2 linked regions of the Callithrix jacchus genome follow. The protein of the gene in region 2 interacts with the protein of the main gene of each other region in a biochemical or structural test. Links are inferred from orthologs where the notes say so. Each region holds a gene or a part of one and is shown on either strand. Other genes may lie near its edges.

The links.
Region 1: the proteins of CDC25B (region 2) and YWHAB form a complex in vitro, tested with the Homo sapiens proteins (2 studies listed by BioGRID). The link is inferred for Callithrix jacchus from reciprocal best matches to the Homo sapiens genes CDC25B and YWHAB.

Annotation. Positions count from the first base shown.
Region 1 is NC_133506.1:40,262,116-40,265,761, reverse strand, and holds part of YWHAB (14-3-3 protein beta/alpha), read right to left. Parts: coding exon 3,624-3,646; intron 1,535-3,623; coding exon 1,411-1,534; intron 545-1,410; coding exon 381-544; intron 1-380. UniProt on the Homo sapiens protein: Adapter protein implicated in the regulation of a large spectrum of both general and specialized signaling pathways. Binds to a large number of partners, usually by recognition of a phosphoserine or phosphothreonine motif.
Region 2 is NC_133506.1:11,323,165-11,327,369, reverse strand, and holds the start of CDC25B (M-phase inducer phosphatase 2), read right to left. Parts: upstream 2,888-4,205; 5' UTR 2,091-2,887; coding exon 1,891-2,090; intron 1,003-1,890; coding exon 857-1,002; intron 291-856; coding exon 239-290; intron 1-238. UniProt on the Homo sapiens protein: Tyrosine protein phosphatase which functions as a dosage-dependent inducer of mitotic progression. Directly dephosphorylates CDK1 and stimulates its kinase activity.

The sequences.
Region 1 (3,646 bases), about 29 Mb from region 2:
GGGAGGCGGAGGCAGGAGAATCACCTGAACCCGGGAGGCAGAGGATGCAGTAAGACAAGACGCACCACTGCACTCTAGCCTGGACAACAAGAGCAAAACTCCATCTCAAAAAAAAAAAAAAGAAACAACAAACTACATTCACCTGGAACTTTCTACAACCACCTCCCCCAAAAATAGTAATCAAACAAAAGTCAGCAGAAGGTATTGAGAATGAATTTAAAAAAGTAACAGATCTGTATTTATCTCATAAAAGATACACTCCCATCCCCAGAAAAGTTTTCAAAAAAGTCCAAGATAATGAGTATGTTCAGGAATTAAAAGAAGTTAATAACACAAGCATTGTTTTGCTATGGTCAGAAATCACAAAGGGTCTTTCTCACCGTTTTTGCCAGGCTGCAGGCCTTTTCAGGAGAGTTGAGAATCTCATAGTAAAAGACTGAGAAATTAAGTGCCAGACCAAGTCGAATTGGGTGTGTAGGCTGCATTTCTTTCTTACTAATTTCAAATGCTTCCTGGTAAGCCTGCTGGGAGTTCGACACAGTGGCTGTAAGATAAAGATGCAAATATTTAAGGCTTGGTTCTTTCACAGATATCACACACTGGACCAACTATCAAATTATTTTCTTAATCCCAAATTGGGCAAGAGCAATGACCTATCAAATGAGGTATCAGTGTCTCTGCCAGTCAATTTTACATTTGTTAGATATTTATTCTAAACCAAGTTGTAGATTAAATGCTTGGGGGAAAAACAATTATGATAAAGTCTACGAAAGCATTTAAGAAATATAGATATAACCTTTAACAATATAGAATGTGAAAAACAATATGCTCTAGTGCAAAGATCACAGGCTTTAGATTTAGAGTTAATAGATCCAAACTTTAATTCCCAACTCTTATTCCCAAGTCTGTGGCTAGGGGCAACTAAAAACCTCCATAAAGCTCAGTTTATCAGAAAAATGGGCAGACTGCCATTTAATTCGTATGGTTGTACGAAGAATAAGTGAGACTCAAAAGTACTTGGCACATAGGCACTTGATAAAGTGTGGTTATGATTATCACCATCATAGTAAAACGTGTGATAAAAGAAATGCATCACTATGGTAGTTTCATACCATCAAGTATTTTAAAGTTTCACCACTAAAAAGAGAGCTAACAAATAACCCTCAAGATAAAAATTTTTTTAAATATACTACGCACCAGATTTTTAATGCCCTCCATATTTCCCTGTCAGATAAATATTTATTTGCCCACCCATCACCCCCATTCATCACAATGCTGTGGTCTTTTAAATTCTTAGTACTGCAGCGTTGGTGTCTATGGCAAACAGACAAAGCAAAAACTGTTAAAATTTCCTGTGAAAGCAGACTGGTTCCATTACTGATCAAATTTCTTTTTAAAGGTATTACTTACTTTGTTTGTTGTCTCCAGATGCCACTTCAGAAAGATACCTAAAATAATCTCCTTTCATTTTCAAGTAGAACACCTTACTTTCTGGTTGTGTAGCATTGGGAATAAGATATTTGTCCAACAGCTCCTAAAAAATGATTCACATTGTTGAGAATTTAGAATTATTCACAGGATGTTTAAAAACTATGTTTGAGATTCAAAATACACTACTGCTTCTAAATAATTTTTTAGAAGATAAAAAAAACATCAATTTTTTTCATCCAAGCTACTAAATGTTGTTTAGCCCAGGTCATAATAGCAGATGCCTGTATGCTTCTGTTAAAAATCACTTTGACCATCCATAGAGGATAATTAAAGTACAGCCATACAATGAAATGCTTTGTAGGCCTTTAAAATGATGCAGAACTGCACAGATAATGGAAAGCTCTCCAAAGAAATCTGAGTGAAAAAAAACAGATTATAAATACCACAAGAATCCTATTTTAACAATAAGATACCTATGTGTACATGCTCACAAATACCTAAGGAAAAAGCCTGGAAGGAGGATGTTAATAATGGTTCTCTGGGGGGTAAGATTAGAAGTGATTTTTACTTTCTTATTTATATTCCTCTGATTTGTCCTCCCCACCCTTTTTAAACCCATAAACTTGTATTACTTCTATAATTAGAGGGGGAAAAAGTATTTCCCTGGGAGTAAAAAGGTGGTAACAGAGCAAAACTGCCAAGAACTAAGTTTAGAATCATTCTGACCTGGGTAGAAATCCCTCTTCTGTCACTTATCTGTATGACTCTGGACAAATTACCTAATCACCTTGAGCCTCAGTTTCCTAAGCTATACGAGGGATCATCTTCTAGGGTATAGCCATAAGTTGACATACATAAAGCGCTTAACACGTTGCCTGGCACGTAGTAAGCACTCAAAGAGTAGCTAATACTATTAATAATAAATTCCTTTAAACATGTATGCTTACAACAAAAGTAGTTCTGAAGGAGTCCAAGCTTCGTATACAGAGCAATATTTTCGAAGAGTTGTTTTAGAATGTGGCATCCTGAAAAACTGGTTAAGAGGCAGTAAGTACCAAGCTCTTCTTCACCTTCTTTCAGATGCTCTTAAAAGTTGGTCTACATTTCATGAATTATGGACTTTCTTGCCCTTGGAATGCATGACATACTTCATCTGAATACCAGATGTACCTAACATTCAGGAATTAGTGCACCATTAACAAACCCCCAAATTACCAACAGGCAACAAATTTAGCCATGACACTCTTATGCCATGAGTCTAATAAAAACAGAAGCTCAATGCAAAGCTTACTTATAAAGGGATTTAATCAACCAAAGTGAGAAGACGCAAGGGGCAGTAGTCATTTTTTAATATTCTTTGTAGAGAGACAGTGTGTAACTCCTAATGAGTTAGGGACGAGGGGTGCTTCCTGATGGCTGACAAGCTTTGTACTGGTTTTCAAAAGAAAGGAGTCATGGGCAATAATTTGGAAAGGCAGACAGCAGGGGAGGAGGTAGATCCCCAAGTATGAATTCCTTTTCCCTTTTCAAAGCAGCCCTCACTCTTCATTTTTACCTGATTTCAATTGGAAGAAAAATGTTCCCAATGGGCTCAGGATGTGGGGGAAAGACAATACGACTGTGATTTGATTTAGAGTATGTACCTCTCCCATTCAATCTCAAGTGGTGGCCAGAGTGAATCAATCATCTGACTAAGGTGTATGGTAAAACACAGGAGAGAATCTCCAAACCACTTTGAATTTGGCTCTGGAATACAGGCTCAACTTGATGGATGTGCCCAACTTTCAGACCAAAGCAGGACTTACAGCCCAGCCTTTTTATCTCCCTCCGCTACTGGAGATGACATCACTACTCGGACTAATATATACAATAGCCTATCTGTGGCTGTATCTATTAAAATCCTGTCTATCTGGCCTCAATTTAAAAAGATGGAGGGAGGCTGAATAAATGTTACTGTTTTTTCACAGGTCTTTTTGACAGGAGAGGAAAATATCTCAGAAGTGATGTATCAGAACCTCTGATCAGGCAACAGGTGACAAAAATTACTGTATGCTTAAAAATTAGTTGTAAATGGCTGGCAGCTTTCCAGTATATTCAGACACCTCTCTCTCATAAGCTGTTTTGAGAATCTGCATTTATCCATTAATACTATTTAGAAACCACTGTTCGAAACAGAAGCACTGGCCTCTTACCAGAACGTCATTGCAGATGTCCT
Region 2 (4,205 bases):
CATCCCTGTCCCTGAGCCCACTCTTGGTTGGCTCCCATGAGAGCAGATCCTTCTCTGAGACAGGGAGCAGAATCCCAAGGCCTGAGAAGGTCAGCGAGTCCCCCCGCCCACGGAGATCCTGAAGGCACCCCATGGTCTGTCTGCTTTCCCAGGCCTCCCTGGTGAGTTCCTGCTAGAACTGGGATTCTCAAAGGCAGGTGCTGACTGCTTGGTGGTAGTCATTCCCTTCAATACTCACGTCTGCTCCGCCATCTGGGGGTCCATAGGGCTGGGGGAGTCCATGCAGAGACCTGAGGGGATGGAGCACCTTGGTTTGAGGGTTGTGGCACTTTCTGTATACTTTCCCCCACTATGTCTCAATAAGAAGAAAAAACCCGTGTCTAGTTTGGACTTTGACACATTAGAAAATGAAACAAAAACCCAACCATGGACCCTGAGGGCTGACACATTATTCCCCAAATAGTACAGGGTTCCACTCCCGGTTTACTATGAGACAGCAGCTTTTCAAAGAAGAGGTTATAGAATAAGAAGGTTCTAAAGACCAACTCTCAGTCCTGAGTGCTTCCCAGGTAGGGCTGTGGTTAACTTTGGTGCCTGGTTTTTTCCATAGGTGAGATCTCATCTCCCATGGAGGGCCCCACCCTCCCACCCACTCAGCCAGTCTGCGTTGGGTGTGGTGAGCCCCACCAGAGGCACGCCTTCCTCCCATCTCTGTGGAGGGTCGGGGAGCGGCTCCTGGGCCCACCAGGTTGTAGGGAGGATGTTAGTTTGATCGGCAGGGAAATCGGGAGGCCCAGGCAGCCCCCGAAAACTCTCCTGGCACTGGCAGACCTCCCCAGCCCCCACTGGGCCTCACCTGCATCAGAAGATTCAGAGGATTCAGACGACAGGGAGGATTCAGACGACAGGGAGGATTCAGATGCCCGTCTTGACAGGGGTAGGCATGTCAGCCGGCCGCGGCTACGGAAGAGTAGGCTCCCTACCTGACTCTCTGGGGTTTCGCTGGGAAGGGAACAGGGACCCAGGAAAGGAGAAAGGTAAATGTGGGGCTCAAGGCTTTGCTGGCCTGAGTTCCCACTCACTCGCTGAGAAAAGAACTGAGCGAAACACTACACCGGGAAAGTGATGGCCCCAAGGGCCGGCCCTCTTCTCAGGTCAAGGCAGGCTCATTCTACAGAGGCCCCAAAGCAGCTTCTCTTTGTTGACTGGTTTAGGACATGTCCTCCTAAACCAGGTGAGCCCAGGGTGTGAGTAAGGCAGCCTGGCTGGAGGCGATCTTAGGGGTTGGTGGTCTAGCAGAGCTGCCCCGGAGGGCCTTCCCCTAAACTGTCAGACCCCCACCTTTCCAGGACCCTTCCTGAAGGATGGAACAAGACCAGGTTCTCCTACTGGGACAACCCAGCTCTCCCCTTGCAGACTTAGGAAGCGCGATCAGTGTATACGTAATTGCCTTAACTCTGAGCACAGAACTAGGGTGGAGGGAGCAGGGGCATGGATGTGTGAGTGCTCCATGGCTCTGCCACACTCAAGTTCCCCCCTCCAGGCTTGGGATTCCCATCCTGAGGCAAAACAGGTGGCTATTTGGGTAGAGATTAGGGAGGCAGCGTGGTGGAGGCACAGTGAGGTAGGAGGGAGTGAGGGGAAAGAAGACTCGGGCAGGCTTGTGCGGACCAAGAGCAGGTCACCTGGAGGGTGTGGGAGGCACAGCCCAGGTCTCACCTCCCATGTCCTGGGCCCCATAAAGGGACAAGAGCGTACCTCTCCACTGCCCAGGACGCCTCCCCCGGACTCCACCTCCTGGATTAGGATACCATGCTCAGTTCTCCAGGAGGCCCAGGACTCCAGTCCGGGCCTCTCACTCCCATATCCAGCCTCCTTGGGGTGTCCTACCTGCCGAGCCCGGCGAGGTCGTGCATGGTCTGGGTGAGGGTGGTGACCGGCGAGGAAACGGCCGCGCGCACTGGGGACCCTAGGAGCCCCTGAGGTCCCAGCAGGAGGCCCGGGAGGTGGCCAGGACGCTGGGCGCCACCGCGCACGCCGGCTGGACTGAGAGCCGAGCCTGGCGCGGGCTCGGGCTGGGGCACCTCCATCGCCCCGGGGCCGGCAGAAGGCTGGTTGGAGGGCCAAGCGCAGGGCCTCCAACAGACGCCGGGACAGCTGGCTGGGCCGAGGGAAGCAGCGGGCGCGGGGTGGCGGGGGGGAAGGAAGGGAGAGAGGGAGAGAGGGAGGGAGGGAGGAAGGGAGGGAGAGCCACAGGACCGGGCGCGAGGGAGAAGAGGGATGCGGGGAGGGTGGGGTGTGAGGGACGCAGGGCTCAGGCACCAGCCTGGAAAGCCTCTAGTTGCAGCTGCCACTTCCACCTCCTTATATATTCGAAAAATAACAGCGGCCGCGCCGCTGGACGCCACCAATGGGGTAGCGGGTTAGAGGAGGGCGGGATCGAGGGCGGGGCCCGCGGGGCTGGAGGCGCGGAGGCTGGATTTCCAGGCTTTGGGTGGGCCAGAGGAATTAGGGTTTATCCCACACCCCCGCACATCACCCTGGGGCGAGGATCCTGGCCTCCTGAAATCCGCCTCTCGCGACATGGTTTGGAATTCCACATTCCAAAGTCGGCAGCAGCGCCCTAGGGTGGCCTCCGCAGGACCCCCTGCAGCTTATCGTCACCTGGGATCACAGCTAGGGACCGGGAGTTTGCTAAACCGGCTCCCGGAAATTTGCTAAACCCAGCTGCGCTGTGCTGTCTGCGTTAGGTATCCCATTTTACAGACCTGGACGTTGAGGTGTGAAGTTCATTAACTCCTTCAAGGTCTCGCGGTTGGCAGGCCGTGGGACAGGATTCGCCCAATGCCTGGGCCTCCGACCCGGCAGCCTCCCCGCCCCCGCGCCTGGCTGCGCTGAGCAGCAACAAAAAGTCATTCGCAGGCAGAGCGCCTAGCGTAGGAGGTGGGAGGGGAGTGGGGCCCCCAAGCGGAACCGACGGGAGCTTTCGGGGTACTCCAGGTTAGATGTTACCCCAACAGATTCAATTTTCGCGGCAGCCCCAGTAGTCCCACTAAACGGTGGGACTAGACATGGCTTTCCGAGGCTGGGGGTCGAGGAGGGTGTCAGCGGCCAGAGAAGCGAGTTAAGTATCACGTCCCTTGATGGTTTGGCTAACTTGGTGCCAATGGCACCATATTATTTAATTGGTGTTTATTTGATGACCAGACCAGAGAGGCTGAATTTATCATTCGTTTAAGCCGAGCATCTTCCAATTATCTAAATGCCTTCCAGCCCCGCCCGTTTTCCAGGCCTCCTGGAACGGGGGGGTCTGAAGGCTGCACCCGAAAACCAGTGGCTAGTAAGCAGCTTTCGCATTTCATTTCGTCTCCCGGGGTTAGAGGTGGCCTCTGGCTGGGTGGGCGGAGGTGCGGGGGGATGGAAAGGCTGAAGTTCAGGAAGGCAGGAGCGCCCCTTCTCGTGCAGTCCCAGCCTCCCGGACCCAAGGCAAATTGGATGGGGGTGGCAAAAGGGAAGGCCTGTAAGATGGGGGGCTGGGTGGGCCAATTCATGTGAAGGGGAAGGGAAGATCCTAGCCCCACCTGAGAAGGGTGGCCAAGGTGGGAACCCTGACCTTTCCTTTTCTCCACATTTTGCTCAGCTCCTGTGCTGTGTTCCAGGTCTCAACTTCTGGTTCATCCTCCCTAGGTCAGGGGTCATGCCCCGGACCTCCAGCCACCACTCCCAGTGAGGACGTGACTACCCTCAGTGCTAGGATGGAAGGGGGAAGTACCCTTGTGAGGCCACCCACCCCCAAAACAAGAAATAAAACCACTCCGAAGTTTGCATTTTCAAGATCAGGTATGCCCCTCATCCCCACCCAGCCAATATACATCTGCACAGGGTGTGTGTGTCAGGGCAGGCATTGTATGTTGAATCCCTTGAAATCCCACAGTCAGGTCACCTCTGGGCCAGGGGGAGGTGGCAAGACCACAGAGGGGTTCTGGGATTTTTATGTTTTGTTGTCGTTGCCTTTTTTTTTTTTTTTTTGAGAAAGAGTCTCTCTCTGTTGCCCAGGCTGGAGTGCAGCTGCAGGATCGAGGCTCACTGTAACCTCCATCTTCCAGGTTCAAGTGATTCGCCTGCCTCAGCCTCCTGAGTAGCTGGGATTACAGGCAGCTGCCACTATGCCCGGCTAATTTTTGTATTTTTAATAGAGACGGGGT